4 linked regions of the Drosophila melanogaster genome follow. The protein of the gene in region 4 interacts with the protein of the main gene of each other region in a pairwise test. Each region holds a gene or a part of one and is shown on either strand. Other genes may lie near its edges.

Region 1 (4,399 bases), on a different chromosome or scaffold from region 4:
CCGCACTTTCGCTTGCCGCTGATGAGTACAATTTTCATCATTTTTCTGGCGCAACTTTCACTTTTGCTCGCCAACTTCTTTCACAACCGCTGCTTCTCCTGCTGCTTCTGCTTGTGGCCTCGATTTCCTAAGTTCTACGCTGTGCTCATCAGATACTGGATGTGGTTGTGTTCACCCTGGGCCCTGCCACTTGACTCCGGCACTGCGGCCTGTTGTGTTTATGCTAATGCTCCATTCGAAGTCTGTGCTCCAAGTCGCATTTGTTTACCTTTTGTATTTCGCTGGAACAGCAACCAGCTGGAGCGTATCGTCATCGATAGGCGGCCAATCGAGCGGGCTTTTTGAATTTCATTCAGCTCGAGTGGAAACCGTACCGTCATCGATTGGCCGCCAATCGGGCGGGATTTTTGAATTTCGTTCAGCTTGAGAACCGCAAAGGTATTCATAAAATTGTTATCCTGATTTGTTCGCCACGATAACCACTTCACTACTACATTAAGAATTAAGTTTAGCCCAAGCTTTAAAACCGGAGTAGCATTTATTTTTTGGTTCGGGTTGGCCTAACCCCGTAAAATATCTTTAATAGTGTTCAGTTCAGCTTAACATACACTTGTTCACTTAATTAAAAGCCTGCGTGCCTGCGTTAAAGCGTCTACCCTGGTTACTAGCCCCTCGCTTTCGTCCCCCTATCTGTAGTATTGCGACTGCTGCCAGTTGCCACTCGAGCCACCAGTTGGCGCGTCGGTGGAGCCTCCAATCAGGGCACCTGGGCCAACAGCGGAATGGCTGCCACTCGGATTGGCGGGCTGTGCTGCTGCTGTTGCCCCACCGCCGGGTGGCCCAGAACCCGGATTCCCGGCCGCACTGCCAAAGGAGGCGAGCACGCTGCTGTAGTAGGAGGCATCCGCCACCGACTCGGACTGGTGGGGCGTGCCCTTCTTGAGCGTGTGGTGCAGCGAGGCCTTGCCCTGGTGACATTCCTGCGCATTGGCATTGTTGATCCTGGTCAAATTGGCCAGCGTGAGCGTCGAGTGGCCGCCGTGGATGGCGTTTTGGGCGGCGGCGGCGGATCCTGGTGGCGGTATACTACCAATACTACCGATGTTACCGACACCGCCGGTCAGTGGCAGCCGCGACAGGACGGGACGGGACGCAATGGAGGCGGAAACGGATATGGGGACAGACGACTCGGAGAGCTGCAAGGGGCAAGCGGTTGTTTTTTTATAGACAGGACAGCTTAGTTTAGGAGCCATAGCTACCACTCGCCTTGCGCTGCTTGTGCAACTCCAGGCCCAGACCGACGCCGCCCAGATCCGTCATTTTTGGCTGCTCCGCCATGGCTGACAGCTGCGGCTGTGGCTGCAACGGTGGCGGCTGCGGCGCCACATGTCTGTGATTGATGTGCGCCTGCAGGTCGCGTTGCGAAAGGTATGTTCTACGGCAGCCGGAGCTGCCGTAGCGACTGCCGCCGTGCGTGCACATGAACACGGTGCCCAGGCCACTCTGCTCCACGCGCAACACCTTGTCCGTGCAGCGGGGACAACTCTTGATGGGCTCGGCGCGGGCGCACTTGAGGCAAAATACATGCTTGCAGGGTATCATGCGGCCGTAGACGAGGATCGGCTTGTCGCACTGATCGCAGCAGTGGATCATCGGGTTCAGCACCTTCTCGCCGATCAGGCTCACCTTGTGGTTCCACTTAAGGCGCAGCATCGGCTCCGGCGGTCCGCGCGAAAGCGTGGTGAAAGTGGGCGCCTCCAGTTGCGATATGTCCGCCTCCATGTCGACTGCGCGGGCGAGAGATAGCGAGATAGCTTTGTTCAATGCTTCAAGTTTGGATACCAAGGAATTGGTCAAGCCAAGATGTTAATCAATTTAACTATCTTGGACAACCATTCAATAGGGGAGGAGACTCACTTGTTTGGCTCATCACGGGCGGTGGCACTTGCTGCAGGACCTGTGGCTGTTGCGTCGCTGGAGTCATGTTCCCGCTGGCGGCGACCGCTCCTAGCGCACCGTGCGGCAGGGGCTCCTCCAGAGCGCCGGGCGTTTCCAGTTCGCCGTCCTTGTCGAGCTCCTGCATGACCGAATCTTCGGAGGCGTCCAGTCTTCCCGGACTGTCCTCCAGGGCTGCACAGCTGCTGGCCGCCAGGGCTGCGGCGTCGGCGATGCTGCTGTCGTCGATTTTCTTGCCACGACCGCGTCCTCGGCCACGTCCGCGCCCGCGAGCCCTGGTGCCACGCCCTCGTCCGCGGCCGCGCTTCACTTCCTCGGTGTCCATTGTTCACTTGTACTTGCGTGGGATTTTATGCCGGTTTTTAAGTTTTTCGGTTTTTGTTTAGCTCCGCATTTGCGTTTGGCCAGGGTTGTCAGCTGTTCCCACATACGTGCAGTAACTTAGGGTGACCAGTCTGCGCCTAACAACACTGGCCATCAAAAGGTCCGGCATCACTGGTCAGTTTAAAATACAATATTTTTACTTGTTTAATTTTAATTTTATCTGTTTTTCAATTATTTTTAAACTAATTTGAATTTAATGAATGTAAAAAAAAACATAAAAAAAAACAATAATTATAAGCATCTATTTAACCGTTCTTGTATCATATTAATAGCTTACTAATTTCTTTTGTAGCTTCAACATGAAAAAACAAAAGTATTCTGAATAGAAAATGTGAGATCTACATTAAGATAACCTTAAAAACTTAATAATAATTAATAACAAGGTTTAAAATTAGTTTTTTCGTATATAAATTTGAATTTGTAAAATGTTTTTTTAATTACAATTAAATAGTTTTTATTACAAGTTATATTTTTATACTATGCTTTAAAAAAAATGATTTTTGGTATTTGTTGCCTAAAAATATCGTTTATCCCCTTTCCTTATGCTTTAAATTGCGCTCGAATTTATGCAATAACTGAGTTGAGTAGTTCTTCAGCTAGAAATCGGGGTCATTCACCTTGGGTGCAAGGTAGTATCGAATGTGGCCGTAATCCTCGATGGGATACTCCACCAGGAGTGGCCGCTCGTCGGACAGGTAGAGCTTGACGCGATCTGCCAGCGGAGTGGCCTTGGTGAAGGTGTTGAGGTAGCGACCGGCGAAGGACTGGGTCACGGGCTCCTGCACCTCAATGCTCACGTCCATGGCGGTGCCCGCACTCAGCTGAATGTTGGCCGTGCCCAGATCTCCCTTGGCCAAGAACCTGATGCCCTTCGAGGAGCAGGCGATCGTCAGGGACTCGTCGAACATGCTCATGTCCCGGCAAATGCGCGCGAACTCTGACGACGGCAACTGGATGAAGCAGGTGTAGTCCTTTTTCGGAATCTCCATGTGATCCTGGTCCAGATTGAGGAGCTTCAGCTCGTAGTCCGCCGTGCGCTCCTTGCCATCCGACTCGAAGCTGAGCGTAATCTTCTCCGGTCTGTCAACGGCCTTAATGGTGACCGCATCGTCGCTATTGGCGCACTTAAGCACCTTGCCCAGGGATTTCAGATCCAAGCCCAGCGAGACATTGCGATCGCAGTGAAACTTTTCAAAACAATCCGAAGCCAGACTTAGGGCCACCAGCGAAACGTGGGAGTTGTCCATCGATTGCAGCTGGAATATAGAGTTGTAAAAGCTTTATTTCTTATCTCAACTTTTCATTTTCAGTCCCAAGTCTCAATGGAACTACTTAACAGCTTTTATGGGAATTCGAAACAAAATGACAGATGGAGGGTTATTCTCTTCACCTCCAGACCATTTTCACTGCAGTCCAGCGTTCCCTGGGCGATGATTTCCTTTAGTGCATCGACGATCTTCTTCAGCAGCAAAGTCTGACTCAAACGCGCCTCGAGCATTTTTCCAATTTTCAAAATTGACAATCGCTGTCCCGTTAAATTCACAATTGGAAACAAACAAAATGAAGCCAGTCAGCTGTTTCGCTGCAAGTGTAGAGATGCCGGACTGCTGCGGAGTTAAGAACAAAGCTTGTTAGATTAGTTTCGGTTGCGGATTTAAGTTCATTTGATGTCTGATGATGAAGCTAGTGAACATAGATCTTAGAATTTGACTTAAAGCTGTAGGTTAATCCTTTTCTATTTAAGGGTATCCAATTGAAATCACTTAATCCGACTGATCTGGCAGCATCTGCAACACTGGTTCCGGCTCCAGTTCTAGTTCGAGATCCAGTTCCAGCTCGGATCCAGCCATCCAATCCAATATGTTTACGCTTTATTTATTTATTTGTTTATTTATAACCAACTGCTGAGCTCCCCGATGGCCGCCGCGCAGGTGGAGATGCACGCTGCTCCGGCGGCTCCCCATGTCGATCGAAATCCCAGCAGCGACTGGCGACAGTGGTGTCGCCTGTGCGCCAAGGACGACGTGCAAGGCAACTTGAATGTGTTCCTCAAGAACGA
Region 2 (4,689 bases), on a different chromosome or scaffold from region 4:
TGAGAACATCGTTCAGCGTCTCTTCCAGGAAGGATGTCTTCAGTTTGTAGTACATTTTGTATGAGTCCCGAATCTCCTGACTGGCGTCCCTTATATCATACTGCAACAGGTCAACCAGTTAGCATACTTGTCATATCCGCATCCCAATCTCACCTTCGATGGAACACGGCCATTCTTCTTCTTGAAGTCCTTCTCCCACACCTTGACGCGCAACTTGTACTTTTGGTATTTTAGCTTGAACACCGAATCGTCCATGTCGGCGGCTGTCTTTAATTGTCAATATTATGAGGAAACCAACATTGGAATCAGATTTCGTTAACTAATAAACCAACACAAGTGCAGCTGTTTTGCTTAGCGCGCGCTTTTTCACCGACCTTGCCAGACCAATGGCCATGTGACAGAGTGGCCAGACTATCACATGCTGGGACAGTGGGCAAAAATACAATAATCTGCTTAAAAAAAATAAAAACTTGTCATCTTTAAAAGAGCAGCAAAATAATTTATTGTCAATTATAGGCAATAAAGGTCCAAGTAAACGTTACATTTTTATTGATATTGCTGCGCATTTTATACAATTTGTGTTCGTTCTTGTAGTAAAAAATATCGAAGCTTGGCCGTTGCAAAATGCAATTTTCACAATGATGCTATTTAGGTGTATGCTCGCAAAGGGCTTTCCTCGCTGGAATAACTGAAGATTACAGGTAATAGCTACGTAAATAGGAGCAAAGCAAAGCAGCCGCACGGCACTTCCAGCAGGGTGAAGAAAGCGGAGGAGGGGAGCTGTGAAAGGCAGGGCGAGAATGTGAGCTTAGGTGACAAGGTGACTACATGAGTATCAGAGCAATCTCCTCCGGCTGCATCGATGGACAGCGCCAATTGTAGAGGTAGTACTGCAGGTTTCCATCCCCGGCGCCGAATTTTAGCGGTGCAAAGTACTTCTTGTTCTCCATGAGGTCGAGGGCATTGTACACGTCCATCTGGACATTGCGGGCCGAGATCAGTGCATCGTTCATCAGGTCCAGCCACGGGGTCTTTGTAGACACATTATAGAACGAATATGCGGCACGAACCGTCTTATGCACCGGATGGTGCATCACGGACGATGGCAGGCAGTAGTAGCTAGTCAGATCAGTGATGTTGCCCTTTTCGTCGGCAACCACGAAGCAATCGATAATACCTTCTTTGGGGGTAAACCAATGACGAAACTCTTCCTTGCTGAACACCGGGCTCAGCTGAAAGCGCTTTAGGTAGTCCTCCAGCAGCTTGTGGGCCTTGTCCATGTCCTTCGCTGTGATTCGGCGATAGCCCTTCGTCTTGGGCTGATCGGGTAGCTTGTACAGCTTCATTGTCCGCTGCATGGTCATGTTACGTGCGAGATGAGAGAAACGCACGTCTACCAGCTTCTTGGGATTGAGCGATCGATGCCAATAGCGACAGGTGGCCACTGGCGTGGGCAACACAACTCCAGCTGTATAGGCCGCCTGGAAAATCCCCGTCAGATTGACGCGACGCGTTATCTCCCGAATCAGGACTGGAGCCACCCGTTTGCTGCGCAACTTCTTGTGGACGCATAGGAAGTTGATGTCCACAACCTTTAGCACCTTGTCGTACGACTTCAGCTTGCTGGGAATGGCTGAGATGAAGCCAACCAGTTTGCCGGACTTCTCCACACGAACGCCAACATGCCAATCGCGTTTCCAGCCAGGTGGCTGCAGCGACCACTTTAGAAACTCGGGTTGGTAATCGAAACGGAACATGGCATCATCGTCCTCCACATAGTTCTCATTGAGCAGCGTGTACAGCTCCTTGAGATCATTGGCGTCGTTCAGGTCTAGTGTCACCCATTTGAAGCCGCCTGGCAGAGTGTATGGCAATGCTCTAATCTCACTAATTTCCTTGTTCGGTTCAATGCATTCGTTGGTGGTCACCTGCTCGTCCAGCTTGGTGACTGGCTGTGTGGACCAAAATGCAAACTTCTTGGCCATCTGACGGGTGCTGGCCATAGCATCGGAAACGGCTTGTAGCAAGGCCTGTTTGCCTGAAAGAAACGATGATGCGTTGAATAGTATTATAACATTTTTCGATTAGTTTAAACTGGAATGACTAATCTGCCCCAAAAAAAGCTTAAGGCATCACGACAGTGGACTAGTTTCCCATGACAACAAATTTGCCCAATTTTGGGGTTTCAATGAAGCATCAATCAATGGAATCAACAAGGTAGAAATCTTATATTACACATATTTTATTCGTAATAAAAAACTCAATTGTATCTATGTAAGTATATTCATATTTCATCAAAATCAAATATGTATTTATGATTTATGAGTTGTTTATTTTTCCGTTAGGGCTAATCTTTGGAGTAATTGCACAGAAAATGAAAATTGAAAATTGAATTGAAATGAATAGCACAGCAGTTCAAGTTAGAGAGGTTGGACTGTAGTTCCCGACAAAACCTAACCTCATTTTTTCAGCCGCAGGAGGAGCCTCTAAATGACTTTTCACAGGCATATTGAAAACTTACTTGCATTCGCAGACACTGAAGCCTCATTCTTGGCACCATCAGGCTGCTCCGCATCCTCGTTTCCTGCTGCATTCGTCGATGCCGTGTCCTGGATATTTAAGCCGGCAACAACCTTTTCGAGCATTGCCTCCGATGCGTCGGCCACCTCCTTGGCCTTCTGCTTTAGCTCTTGACCCGAGAGGTCCTCTGCGTTTTCGTTCGGCATATTTTGCACTGTATTTCTTTTTGAACAGTAAAGCAAATTAAAATTGCAATGAAATCGCAAAACTACAAGCAGAGCAGCTGATTTTTTTGGCGATACCTATCGATGTTTTTTAAAGAATCGAAAGTGGCTGGAGAATCAGTGTTACCAGAGGGTGGCGAAGTGAAAAGCTTGTCGCGGTGACCTCTTGGCAGTTTAAAGTACATCGTTTTCTAAAACTATATTTATTTATTGAGTTCAATAAAATTCAATTCAATTCCTTCGTTCAGCAAAGGATATTAATAAAATGAGGGGCTTTAATTGTTTAAAGCTTTAATTGTAAACAATTATTAGAATTATATAGAAACAAGCTTAAGAATCCATCATTAGAGTCCATGTGCTGCGCTTCAGGACGAGCAGAACGAACAAAACAATTCCAAACGCGCTGTGAAAATACTCGGATATTATCCCGACCCATTCCCAGAAAATGTGGAGCCGTGCAGAATACGGAATGACATTGAATATCCAAGTAAGGCCCATCACGATGGAGAGCCGCAGGAACTGTAGGTAACTATGTGGATAATACGGCAAGGATAACTAGTTTACCAAGGTCCAAGGTTTTATCATATCTTACGTCTGGCTGTCAAAGTTTATGCAGTTAATCCTTCCCTCCTCCTCATTTGTGAACTTATTTATACCCCCCTTCACTTTCCTAATGTAAATGGCTGTCAGGGCGAACATGGCGACATTGAAAGTGCTCAGGGCCAGCGACGGTCCACTTATATAGATCCAGACGGATGGGTGCCAATCTGATATGGAAAAGCAATACGTAACCATGGTAACGATTTAAAAGCAATCGCATTGAAAGTTTACCTTTGACCGAGCACCGAATAAAACCGACCAGAGGCAACCAGTTCCATTTACTGGGATCGTTTTCCCAAATCTGATTAACTATATAAATACTTCCCGTCATGATTGCGGCTGTGCTCCAGACGAAGGCGTTGTACCGCAGGAACCGATAGTTAGGGTCGACTCGATTGAGCGACGTCAAGACTTTCCACGTATGGTAGCTGATGACGGAGAGCCAGAGGTTGGAAGCCATCCGGAAAAAGTGCGAGCTGTAACCTGCAAGAAGTCAACGATATAACATTTAAAGCTTCCAGAGATATCTCCAATTCGAACTAACCAGCTGGAGAGCAAATGCCATTCAATAGATTTAAATGATCTAGTATCATGATCAAGCACTGGATAAACCTCGAAACTATACAGCATACAATGCACTTGCCAGTAACATTTCGCAGCTTCTTAATGTATAGATATACTGCGATTGTTAGGACAAAGCATATCATTGTTATAATTAGAACTGAAAAAGAAAATATAAGAAATAAAAAACCAGCTTATTGTAATTAAAAAACTTGCAAAGGGCACACAGAATGCAGTCAGCAGTTTGCACACCAATAAGGAGTTATTTTCGTTTCTTTCTATATAGCTATGAAAACGATATTGATGACTTTTGTTATAAATAATAATTGAATTACTCTCTAAGGATCCAGGAGATATGTGGCTTGTGCAGCGGTGTCGTATTATCCACATGGACTTTGGAAAATCCGAATCAAAGTTGTGCCGGTACAAGCAGTAGTCCTGTTTTTCCATGAAGAGGTCAACGGTAACCCAAAATTTTCCATCCTGGAACCAAACTATAAGTCCACATTTATTGAAGATTTGAATGCTAACCTCTTCTAAGAAATAGTTAAAGTCGCTGATGTAAATCATTTCATCACAATCAAAGAACTCATCTCTGATAATAGCCATATCGGTGAGTGGTACTCGTGCCTGTAGGTCCATGTATGTGAAGTATATATAGGGTTTGAACCGGGCGAGCTCCTCTTTGAGACCATCATCGCATTTTCCGTTGGCCAAAAAGTTCTTGGCTGGGCAGCAGATTCGAATACAGGGCCGCACGCTGCAAACACAGGCCCTTAAATGC
Region 3 (4,290 bases), on a different chromosome or scaffold from region 4:
AGGTCAGTCACTTTACTGTCCTTGGTTAGATAAATTTATTGGCATGCCATTTTGGCAAAGTATAACTTACGTAAGATGATACGCTTTCATAAATATTTTATAAAAAAAAAACAAACTCTCGTGGAAAATAATTTAATTATATAAAATATAATACTGTATAGTAAAAACCGAATTTCAGCAGAATTTCGTTCAGATCTTGACAGCAATGCAAACTCATTAAAGTTAAACAAACAGATGAGCCAGCGAATTTGTTATCGGGTGTTTATGGCTGATAAGACAGGATCCTGGACAGGAACTTAATATGACTTGCAAGCTGTTTATCACGCCAGATTGTTCAGTTGGTTATCATGTTGTTTTCGCGCATGAGGAGGATGAAGTCGATTATTACTGCTGGCTATTAGCACGTATCTGCAGATATTTTATCGTTCAGATGCAAGCCAAAATTAAGTTCGTTGCCTTTGTGGCGAAACAATACTAATAATACCCTGGAAAGGCAGTGCTACAAATAAGATTCCAAATCAAAAACCAAAAACATTAACTTTAGTTTGAGATATTTTTTTTTATTATAATAATAAAATATATGCGTTTCATATATATTTCATACGTTTCTAAGTCTACGTAATACACAATCTGTTTTTGAACAAGCAAACTATCCATAAAATTACCCCCCTAGGTGTACGATCTACGCTTAACGTCTATGCAGATTCGGCCATGTCAGCAGTAGAGACCCTGGCCCTCGTTCTGCTCCACGTGGTAGTAGCAGTACTGCCGCTGGGTGGGCGTCAGACCCATGGTCTCCGCCTCCGCCTTAAACTGCTCGATGCCGCCGACTCCGGCCAGGTAGCCATTCAGTTTGGTGGCCACATAGCTGGTCTGCAGCAGTTTGGGGCTGAGATTTAGCGATGAGGCGAGATCCTTGTGGCCCTGCAACCTATACTTCTGGTGGTACCTATGAACAAACAAGGAAATTCATATCAACGCACTCAGATTTTCTTAGTTAAAACTTACGCCTCGGCTGGGTAAAAGTTCTCCTTGGATGCAATCTCAGTGGTTATGATCTCCGGTGCACGGCGCTCTTGCTCCTCCAATTTGGAGGCGTGTGCCACCTGCTTCTGCTCCTCATCGTGGTACAGAATCAAGGAGGCGTACTGCCTCTTGATGGGCGTGGTCAGGCCATACTCATGGTTGTTCCAGAACAGATCCAGCAGCTCCTTAAAGCTAATGACCGTGGGATCATAGTCGATTTCCAGCACCTCCGTATGATCGCCCCTGTTGAGATTGGTGGTTAGTACCGGATCCGAAAGGATTATGGGATGCAACATGTAGGGACGTGAAAGGAAGACATATGGATGATTAATGCTCTCAACTTGCTCCCTTACATTTTACGGTACGTTGGCAAATCCGAGCTGCCTCCGGCGTAGCCCACGGTGGTTCTCAAAACTCCACGGGTGGCTCCATACAGGGATTCTGCGCCCCAAAAGCAACCCATGCCGAAAGTGGCCGTGGCTTTGGTGACATTCACATCGTGAACCGGCGAAATGTTCAGTTCCTTTTGTTCATTGCGAACGGTGCTCTGGAAGAAGAAGAAGAAGAAGAAAGGGGAGTATGAGCAACAGATTTCTAAAATTTGAAATATTAGATTTATTCGTATTGAGCGCACACCAAAAACAGAAACGTAAGGCCGTAACCATAGCCCGGCAAACAGCGCATTTTAAGCACAAAATTTTATATGTATATAATAAATGCAATATTCGGCAGGTTTTAAGTTTTTTAAGTATTTTCTTTGGGGCTTTGTTCGCGTCTGATGTCGTCAGCAAAATAATAATGCACTTTGTGCGCTCATTTTAAACTCTCTCTCGCGCTCTTTTCGGTTTTCGCTCTGTTCGCCTTGCACTTGCAGCTGTCGAACAGCTGATTGAAAATACTATCTCTCTCGCACACACTATTGCAAAATCAATTTCAAAATCAAGGTCAATGGAAAAACTGATTTAAAGAAAGTAAAAGTCGTTGGCTAACAGCGCTTCACTTCGCACAGCAAACAACTAAATTAATCCTAGCTTAAATCACTTTTAAAACCATTTAAATATGCGGTTTTAGGTGAGCAAAACTCGCCTTGAAATTACGAAACAGTCGCGAAAACATTATTATGTGTAAACTGCTCAACTGTTGGGAAGCAACTGAACCTGGCCAAAACAAACCGAATTCCTCTAGCCAACAAAAAGGTGCTCACATGAGCTTTAATTATTCTGAACATTAGATGTCGGAAACTGGCTTTTATGACTAAGCACATCAAAGTTTTGGCCACCCGGCCTTGGGGGTTCAAGAAACTTTAAGACTCTTCACAAATTACTTATGTCTTGTACATCAAATAATTTAATTGCATATATTTGTTTATTTATATTTGTACACTGTTTAAAGGTGTATTAAAGTCACGATTCGGCAAAAAAAAATTTAAAATATATTTCATTAGCTATCATAGCATTTTTTAATTTACATTTAAGCTCGAATTAAACCGCAGGACATTTGAAATCACTAGTCACAGGATTAGGCACCAATCACTAGACCAATTACTTACCAGATCCTTGAGCTCAGGATGAGTGACACTGGAAGTAATAGTCAGAGACATGATTTCACTAGTTAAAATTGTTATTTATTTAATGTGTCGCTTTTAACATTTAAAGCTGAACTGATGCATCTGCAGAAAGGTCGGTCCAATTTATACTGCCGCCTCTCCCGCTTTCTACGCGAATGTGGAGAGTGCCGCGCTATCGTTATCAATTCTCCCGCTCTTCAGTCTTCTGGCGGCCGGCCCCGTCTCTTTCTCCCTCTCCCGATTCTACGCTGATTAAAACTGCGCAGCGCTACAGGTTTCTTGGGGCCACAATTGATCGTACAGCTGGGACATTTGATCAGGGTTATAATTTAATTGCCTTTAATATTCTAATTTGAACAAGTCAAGTGCAGTCTTTTGTGTTCTCCGGATTGTGGACTAACTGTTATTTGCCGGGCTCGTATTTTAGCCGGCTCAAACGCAAAATGAAGTCCAACAGGAACATTTGTATTTTTATCTCCTTGGGATTCTCGGTGACATAGAAGCCGGGAACGCCGGCCTTTTGAAGTGTGGATTGTTGGTCATTAACCTGCGTAATGATATTAGATATTAGTTCAACATCAAGAAAAAACAAAGAAAGTTAAAGTAGTAAAATCTAATTTCGTATTCCCATATAAGCATTTAAAGTTATGATTAGAAATAATTTGTATTACAAAAGAAAATATCTTTAGTGATAATTTCATTTCAATTATAAGAATCTGCAGATAAATATATACCTAAAATATACCTAATCTATAGATCCATCCATAATCAAACTATGTATCATATTTGAATTTAATTTTAAATAGGATTAGGATTATCTAAGTTTGAGATTCGACTATTGTTTTTAAAGAAATTTGGATGGTAAGACCAACTAAAAGTGCGTGGAATGGAACGACTCAAAAGGATATTGAATTCTTCACCTTTTGATCTAGTATTTCGATAATCTTCGTATCCGACTCGTGTAGTTTCTTAGTGTGCTTTATTTTCATGAGTCCCAAAATGTGGCGCAACTCCTCGGGATCCTTGATCTTGCTCCTCCACTCGGCCACTTCTATTTCATACTCGTTCTCCGCCTGCATCCGTATTTTAATTAAGTGTCTTTCGGTTTCGTGTTGCAGCTCCATTAATGCTTTTACTATTACAAAAATGCCATCGTTTAGCACACAATTGGCGAGTTCGGTGAGTAGATCGTAGGAAATGCGTGTCTGCAAGTTTCTGTTAATCAAAAATGGCGTTAAATATTTAAATAAACTAAATATCAAGGACTTACTCGGGAAGTTCCGAATGGTAAGTTCGCAATTGGTCCACCAAAAAATAGATTTTGCGTTGTAAAAACTCCGGAGTTGGCTGCTGATACTCCACTACTGCCTCACTAGTGTTCGCACTACCTTCGCTGGTTGCCGGTATGTCCGCCATCTTAACTAAATTGTGATTTCCTATTTATTTACAATAATTTGTGTAATATTCCCAAGTATTTGTGTTTTTAGTGATGTTTTGTGCAACCGCACTCCAATTTCGCCTCTTCGCCGCACGAACAGCTGAGCGCCAGGGCTGCAAACTGCAGCAGCAGCAGTGTGACCACAATCAGTTTGGCTGCCCACATAACGGTAAGTCAGAGAAAGACGCGGAAAGTAAAATGTTTCAAAAGTATTTATATATATTTTTGTTGTATCAGAGCGTGAAAAGAATTGTGACTG
Region 4 (6,690 bases):
ACTTACCGAGCATTCTGAACCATTTCAGTCACGTTTGGGGTTATAAAGATCTTTAAGAGTATTATGATCCTAATCTTAGTAGAACGTGTAGCTAACTTATCACAGCATTTTTGCGCTTTCACTCTGGGTGGTATTTTCGACAGCATCTCGTGGCCGAAGATTTTATTAGAAAGAAAACATTTTTATATAGTATCACTTTACTTTTGCCAAATAAACTTTTTCGTATTCCTTGCTATTTTATGATACTCTTATATGGCAATATGAAATTTTTAATCTTTGAAAATAATGTCATAAAGTACTCAAAATTTTAATATTTCACATTCTAAATTTAATCAAAATTGTATTATGTTAAGGCGCAGTCTAAGCCATCTGGACAAGCTGCCGAAGGCAAAGGTGGCCGAATGGCTGGCCGGGATCGACACCATTATTTGCAGCACGGATGGGGTGCTGTGGCAGGAGAATACCCCCATTGAGGGCTCTGTAGAGGCATTCAATGCCATAATTTCAAAGGGAAAGCGATGTCTCATAGCCACCAACGAGTGCTGCCTAACAAACAAGGATCTGTTCCAGAAGGCCAAGTGCCTGGGCTTCAATGTCAAGGAGCAGGACATTTTCAGCTCGTCGGGTGCCATTGCGAGTTACCTTAGCGACCGGAAGTTTAAGAAGAAAATCCTCGTTTTGGGTGGTGACGGTATCCGCAAAGATCTGAAAGAGGCCGGATTCTGTTCCGTGGTAAACGATCTGCAGCCAAATGACCAGAAAAAAATCGACTTCGTCAGGAGCTTAGTTCTCGATCCGGATGTGGGAGCTGTTTTGGTGGCCAGAGACGACAACATGATAGCGAACGAGTTGCTTGTGGCCTGCAACTATCTTCAAAATCCCAAAGTCTTGTTCCTTACCACTTGCATTGATGGATTCCAGCCATTTGGGAAAAAGAGGATCCCAGATGCCGGATCTCTGGCCTCTGCCATCGAGATAATTGTACAACGCAAGCCTATCGTTTTGGGCAAACCGAATCAGCGGATTTTGGGCAAGTTGATGAAGTCTGGCGAAATAAAGCCCGAAAAGACGCTTGTCATTGGAAACTCGTAAGTTCAATGATTACTTTTATTGAGGATCATACTTTATCCTCTTTCCTTTAGGCTTAAATCAGACATTTTATTTGCAAGTATATGTGGTTTCCAATCATTATTGGTGGGCTGCGATAACGGAGCGATCGAAAAAGCCGAGAAAATTAAAAAAGAGGGAGATGAGAAGAAAATGAAACTTGTTCCAGATGCTTTTCTCTCCGGTCTTGCTTCTTTTGGGGAGTATTTATGCATCTAGGTGATGTCGGGCAAGAAAAGCGATTTCCATATCCAAAAAACATACCCAGCTGACCAAAAAGTAATTTAGATCATATTCAAAATTCAAACTAAGCCGCTCAAAAGCTGAACAGCTGTTTTGTTTCTGAGCACTCCTGTGTGCTAAATGATTTCGGTATTTTGGCTTTTAGCACAAGTCGCGAGTCAGTGCTACCAGTATATTTGTAAATTTTTAGTTTTAAAATTTGTAATCTAAAATAGTAAAGCAAATTGCCAGTTTTCTGTTGAAACTAATAGTTTTGCATCAATAATCGCGAAGAAAAAGTTGAATTAATGTGATAATAAAAAAATACATGTTGTTGGTATATTTTTGGTATTTGATTTGATTGCTTCGTGGTCGCACTGAAAGAAGAAGAGTAATAAAACATCGAACTATCGAAGAACGATATGCCCCGATAGGTTCGGACAAGACAAAGAACAAAATGTTCTCTGCAAAAGCTGTGCTCGCTTAAAAACGCAAAAAGTCAGTGCATCTAGTGCATTGTCAGTGGTGCATAAGATTGTTCTATAAATAGCGAAAAATGAAAATAAACTGCAGGCGAAGTAGAAAAAACACCTTGAGTTGAGTGCAACGGCTGTGCGAGTGTGTGTGCGTGAGAGCGAGAGTGCGCTCGTGTGTGTGTGTACACATGCATGTTGATAAACGAAAATAAAACAAGGGACCGCCCCCCGCCGTAGAATAGCCACCCCGCAAAGTTCATCACCCTAACCAGAATCGGTGGCACTGCATCGCGCTAAATCGGCCACTTTCCATTATCCGCATCCACCGCCCCTCCCGCTCTCTGGGTCCATCATCCACCTCCTGCGAAAACAACAACAGCAACCACCAGCGCCCTTACAACAACTGTTACAAAAGAGCAAGAGAGAAGACACCCCGCACTCACACTCACACGGAAGCAGTGAGTGTCCTCGCCAGAAACTCGAATTCCCAACCAAACATCCCGAATCTGAGGCCCAAATCTTAAGCGCCAATCCGCCGGAATGGACTCGGACATCGAAATGGATATGGAATCGGACAACGACGGGGAGTACGACGACGACTACGACTACTACAACACAGGTAAGTGGAAACTAGTACCTGATCTAGAGGGGCACTTCCCCCTGACAACAATCGGCCATCGATTTAACTGTGGCCAAATTAGGGGTACGAGTGTATCTGTGAGGAAGTACACACACACATGTCGGGCTCTTGGTTTGGTTATTCACCTTTTCGGAAGGAGGCCCGCAAGACCTGGGAATTTGCATTCAGCACTTGACATTCGCCTTGGGTTCCATGACCAAACCCCACACCCCCCATTTGATCTCCGCCCTTCTTCGCTGACCATGAAGCTTAAATTATGGAATTGAACTTGAAACAAACACACACGCACGTAGCTGCACGGCGAGAAAATTGCACTGTGTAATAGGATAAATGTTTAGTTTTAAAATGTCAAATCTAGGCCAAACTAAATGATTACATTTGGTACATTTCCCAAAGCAATTCTAATGATGATTTGATACCTCAATTTAGAGAATTATGTGATAGGGCTTGATTTTCAAATGGTTTTATAACATGAACTCAAATCAATATTGATTTAAAAGGGGCAAAATAATATAAGAATATTACTAAAGACTTGATTTCTCTCAGTGCATGGGCAAGTACAATTGGTAGTTGCGAGTTGGGACTGATTGCGAGGCTTGTGTTTTGTGGCTGGCTTCATTATTGCCCGCCACTCTGCTCACGCTCTTCGTAGCTCCACAACCCACACAAGCACACATTAACACACACACCACGAACACCAGCTCAGGTGCGTGCTCAAGTACGCAGTTGCATTCTGTTGTGTGCCGCTGTTCCGTCAACTCGGTCTCCGCTTCTTGACCTGTCCCTTATTGTTCCGACCTGGCCAAGACGCCCCCTAACTCAACCTTCAATCGGATACCTCATATCGGTAACATCGTAACGTCGAGCACTTCTATGGCAGCCTTGTCGCGCGGTTGTTTTCTCGAATTAGCCAATGTGACTAACAAAATGCAAACATGATTACCGGCTGCATACACTGTAATCCCTTTTGATCCATACATGTCAGATTAACATAGAAGATATTCCCAAAGTAATAATGTTTCGTCGGTTTCAACCGATCAATGTAAGTCAGCCATTGCTTAACTTACAAACTCAACTCAACCTTCGTAACTCTGGAACCAGTTTTGTACAATAAGGGATTAAAAGTGCCCTATTGTATATAACTGCAACTGCTAACTCAGGGTTCGTTTGAAATCCACCCTTGCTGTCTTTCAGTCTGATTTTGGTTTAAAATACAATCAGTTAGCTTAAATAACCAAAAGAAAAAGTGGAAACTGTCCTATCAAAGCATAATAGATTTATGATTTATAAATGTTATAAAGTTCAATTATATTATAATACTAATATCCTTTTCTTCTTCAGGCGAGGACTGCGATGTGGAGCGTCTGGATCCGAAGCGGGCCGACCCGGAGTACTTTGAGTACGAGTGCCTAACCGTCGAGGACATCGAGAAGCTGCTGAACGAGCGCGTGGAGAAGCTGAACACCATCCTGCAGATCACACCCTCGCTGGCCAAGGTGCTGCTGCTGGAGCACCAGTGGAACAATGTGGCCGTCGTTGAAAAGTACCGCCAGGACGCCAATGCACTGCTGGTGACGGCGCGAATCAAGCCGCCATCGGTGGCAGTGACGGATACGGCTTCGACGAGTGCAGCGGCGGCCAGTGCCCAACTGCTCCGACTGGGGAGCAGCGGGTACAAGACGACGGCATCGGCGACACCACAGTACCGCAGCCAGATGTGTCCCGTTTGTGCCAGCTCGCAGCTGGGCGACAAGTTCTACAGCCTGGCGTGTGGGCACTCGTTTTGCAAGGACTGCTGGACCATATACTTCGAGACGCAGATCTTCCAGGGAATCTCCACGCAGATCGGCTGCATGGCCCAGATGTGTAATGTTAGGGTGCCCGAGGACTTGGTGCTGACGCTGGTCACGCGACCCGTTATGCGGGACAAGTACCAGCAGTTTGCATTTAAGGACTACGTCAAGTCACACCCGGAACTCCGCTTCTGTCCCGGGCCCAACTGCCAGATTATTGTGCAATCATCGGAGATCTCCGCCAAACGTGCCATTTGCAAGGCTTGCCACACGGGCTTCTGCTTCCGGTGCGGCATGGACTACCACGCACCCACCGACTGCCAGGTGATCAAGAAGTGGCTGACCAAGTGCGCCGACGACAGCGAAACGGCAAACTACATCAGCGCCCACACCAAAGACTGCCCCAAGTGTCACATCTGCATTGAGAAGAACGGCGGCTGCAACCACATGCAGTGCTTCAACTGCAAGCACGACTTCTGCTGGATGTGCTTGGGCGACTGGAAGACGCACGGCTCCGAGTACTACGAGTGCTCTCGCTACAAGGACAACCCCAACATTGCCAACGAGTCGGTGCACGTGCAGGCGCGCGAGGCGCTGAAGAAGTACCTGCACTACTACGAGCGCTGGGAGAACCACTCCAAGTCTCTGAAACTCGAGCAACAGACGATCGACCGGCTGCGCCAGCGGATCAACTCGAAGGTGATGAACGGCAGCGGCACCTGGATCGACTGGCAATACCTCTTCAACGCGGCGGCACTGCTGGCCAAGTGTCGATACACGCTGCAGTACACCTATCCGTACGCCTATTACATGGAGGCCGGTTCGCGAAAGAATCTCTTTGAGTACCAGCAGGTGAGTCGCAGTTCGGCTATTCTTTAACTGGTTGCCCAATAATGTATTAATTCCGTGCAGGCACAACTGGAGGCCGAAATCGAGAATCTGTCGTGGAAGATAGAGCGCGCCGAGACAACGGACCTGGGTGATCTCGAGAATCAAATGGACATCGCTGAAAAGCGCCGCACCACGCTACTGAAAGACTTCTTCCCAGTGGACGCATAGGCAACCGTCGAGCTTCCAGGGCCACCAGAACGGACAGCCTGTCTTGTTTAGCACAAACACTCTTTGATTGACTGCTGACAGGTCGACGTGACGCGACAGTATAGAGACGCTTATTTAAATTAAATTATACACATATTTACATGTATCCATCTAGTAGTAGGCCCAACGACGTGTAGCTAATTTTTAAATTAAACTAATAATCAAGTGCATATAGACTAGAAAACGTAGCATAGAGCATAGTCGACTACTCGAAGTATAATTACTATAGTTGTGACATTCGAAATCACTCAAAATGATCGGTGTAACTGCAATACAACGCCTTGCGCAGAACGTTAACGATATACAGTATCTATAGCTAAAGCCCTAGCGATACCGATACCGGTAGCTATACCATAACTATAAAACTAACTTTAAATCTAGCAACTGACTAACTGACAAACCAGACGCATTTCAGTGGCCAAGTGTTCCAACAGTTTTCCAAAAACTAGCCCAAACGACCCGATGAAATGCAGAAACAGTAACAATTCTAAATGTATAGCGCCGCAAGTCAAGCAATTATAGATCAAAGACCGCCTAAGCAGATCGGCTCATCGGTTAGACCCTAAGTTTTAAACCTTGTATTAGCCCCGCGTGAACAGCATCAAGTATTCGCAATCTGTATCTCGTAACTAATCGCAGCACATCAATCGAACGCAAAAGTCTTAAGTAAGAACGAAGATAGATACTCCCCGTCCCCGATCCCGTTCCTTTTGATTCTCACTCGATTCTCGATTAACTTTGTAAGCTGAATCATAAATTATATTCTAGGATTACGCTATGTATGTATGCTTATGCGACTGAATTTGAATTAAATTTACACTAGATATACAACTATTCAACTGACTTTTCGACTGTGGGCTGCAAGCTTACGATTTGGGTCTTGTGCTTAAAGCTTTGGAGAAGCTCATACGAAGCTTGGATTGAGTGTTTTAAGGATAAGCTTTCACTCAAGTTTCAAGTTTGGGTTTTGAGCCGAGTTTATTTTTTTTAGTGATTGAGTACGAGCTATATTCCAACTTATCTTCCTTGATTTCGTTGTTATTCAGATTGGATGTGCTTAGTTAGTCTTCGATGATGTTTTTGCTATTATTTTTTACCCTTTTTATTGCCGAACAGTGAACTCTTTCTGCTGCTCTTCCGGCTCTTTCGGCTCTTCCGGCTCTTCCTGCTCATCCGACTCATCCTAACATCAGGCGCCAAAGGTGGTTTCTGCTTCGCAAGTTGGCTGGCTAAGGTGAACAACCGGCACTCGGAATGCTCCTTCAGCAGACTGTTGGCGAACTTCTTGACTCCCGATATCTTGGTCACCCTCACGTTGTTCATATTTTCCACTTTCTTGGCGGGATAGACCTCC

The links.
Region 1: the proteins of ari-2 (region 4) and Hakai interact in a two-hybrid assay, tested with the Drosophila melanogaster proteins (one large-scale study listed by BioGRID).
Region 2: the proteins of ari-2 (region 4) and Nmt interact in a two-hybrid assay, tested with the Drosophila melanogaster proteins (one large-scale study listed by BioGRID).
Region 3: the proteins of ari-2 (region 4) and MsrA interact in a two-hybrid assay, tested with the Drosophila melanogaster proteins (one large-scale study listed by BioGRID).

The regions. Positions count from the first base shown.
Region 1 is NT_033779.5:19,580,090-19,584,488, forward strand, and holds Hakai (hakai), read right to left. Parts: upstream 2,386-4,399; 5' UTR 2,282-2,385; coding exon 1,918-2,281; intron 1,815-1,917; coding exon 1,267-1,814; coding exon of another isoform or gene 1,243-1,266; exon of another isoform or gene 1,197-1,242; coding exon 687-1,196; 3' UTR 523-686; downstream 1-522. Other genes in the region: Pmvk (phosphomevalonate kinase), read right to left, coding at 1-41; PCNA2 (proliferating cell nuclear antigen 2), read right to left, coding at 2,937-3,596, 3,731-3,838; CG10366 (uncharacterized protein), read left to right, coding at 4,257-4,399.
Region 2 is NT_037436.4:8,175,602-8,180,290, forward strand, and holds Nmt (N-myristoyl transferase), read right to left. Parts: upstream 2,829-4,689; 5' UTR 2,727-2,828; coding exon 2,522-2,726; intron 2,039-2,521; coding exon 825-2,038; 3' UTR 534-824; downstream 1-533. Other genes in the region: RecQ4 helicase, read right to left, coding at 1-100, 154-255; mthl7 (methuselah-like 7), read right to left, coding at 3,075-3,273, 3,337-3,511, 3,576-3,827, 3,889-4,065, 4,241-4,689. UniProt on the Drosophila melanogaster protein: Adds a myristoyl group (tetradecanoyl group) to the N-terminal glycine residue of certain cellular proteins. Such protein modification are critical for the developmental processes that involve cell shape changes and movement.
Region 3 is NT_037436.4:15,509,455-15,513,744, reverse strand, and holds MsrA (methionine sulfoxide reductase A), read right to left. Parts: upstream 2,694-4,290; 5' UTR 2,627-2,693; coding exon 2,576-2,626; intron 2,183-2,575; exon of another isoform or gene 2,143-2,182; coding exon of another isoform or gene 2,113-2,142; intron 1,857-2,112; exon of another isoform or gene 1,711-1,856; coding exon of another isoform or gene 1,663-1,710; intron 1,574-1,662; coding exon 1,380-1,573; coding exon of another isoform or gene 1,376-1,379; exon of another isoform or gene 1,270-1,375; coding exon 1,009-1,269; intron 950-1,008; coding exon 715-949; coding exon of another isoform or gene 670-714; 3' UTR 543-669; downstream 1-542. Other genes in the region: gdl (gonadal), read right to left, coding at 2,997-3,140, 3,514-3,808, 3,864-4,009; gdl-ORF39, read right to left, coding at 4,077-4,196. UniProt on the Drosophila melanogaster protein: Has an important function as a repair enzyme for proteins that have been inactivated by oxidation. Catalyzes the reduction of methionine sulfoxide in proteins to methionine. Does not catalyze the reverse reaction involving the oxidation of methionine residues.
Region 4 is NT_033778.4:22,211,096-22,217,785, forward strand, and holds ari-2 (ariadne 2), read left to right. Parts: upstream 1-1,739; 5' UTR 1,740-2,345; coding exon 2,346-2,424; intron 2,425-3,786; coding exon 3,787-5,090; intron 5,091-5,150; coding exon 5,151-5,297; 3' UTR 5,298-6,169; downstream 6,170-6,690. Other genes in the region: CG11291 (uncharacterized protein), read left to right, coding at 346-1,088, 1,143-1,326; CG30278 (uncharacterized protein), read right to left, coding at 6,423-6,690.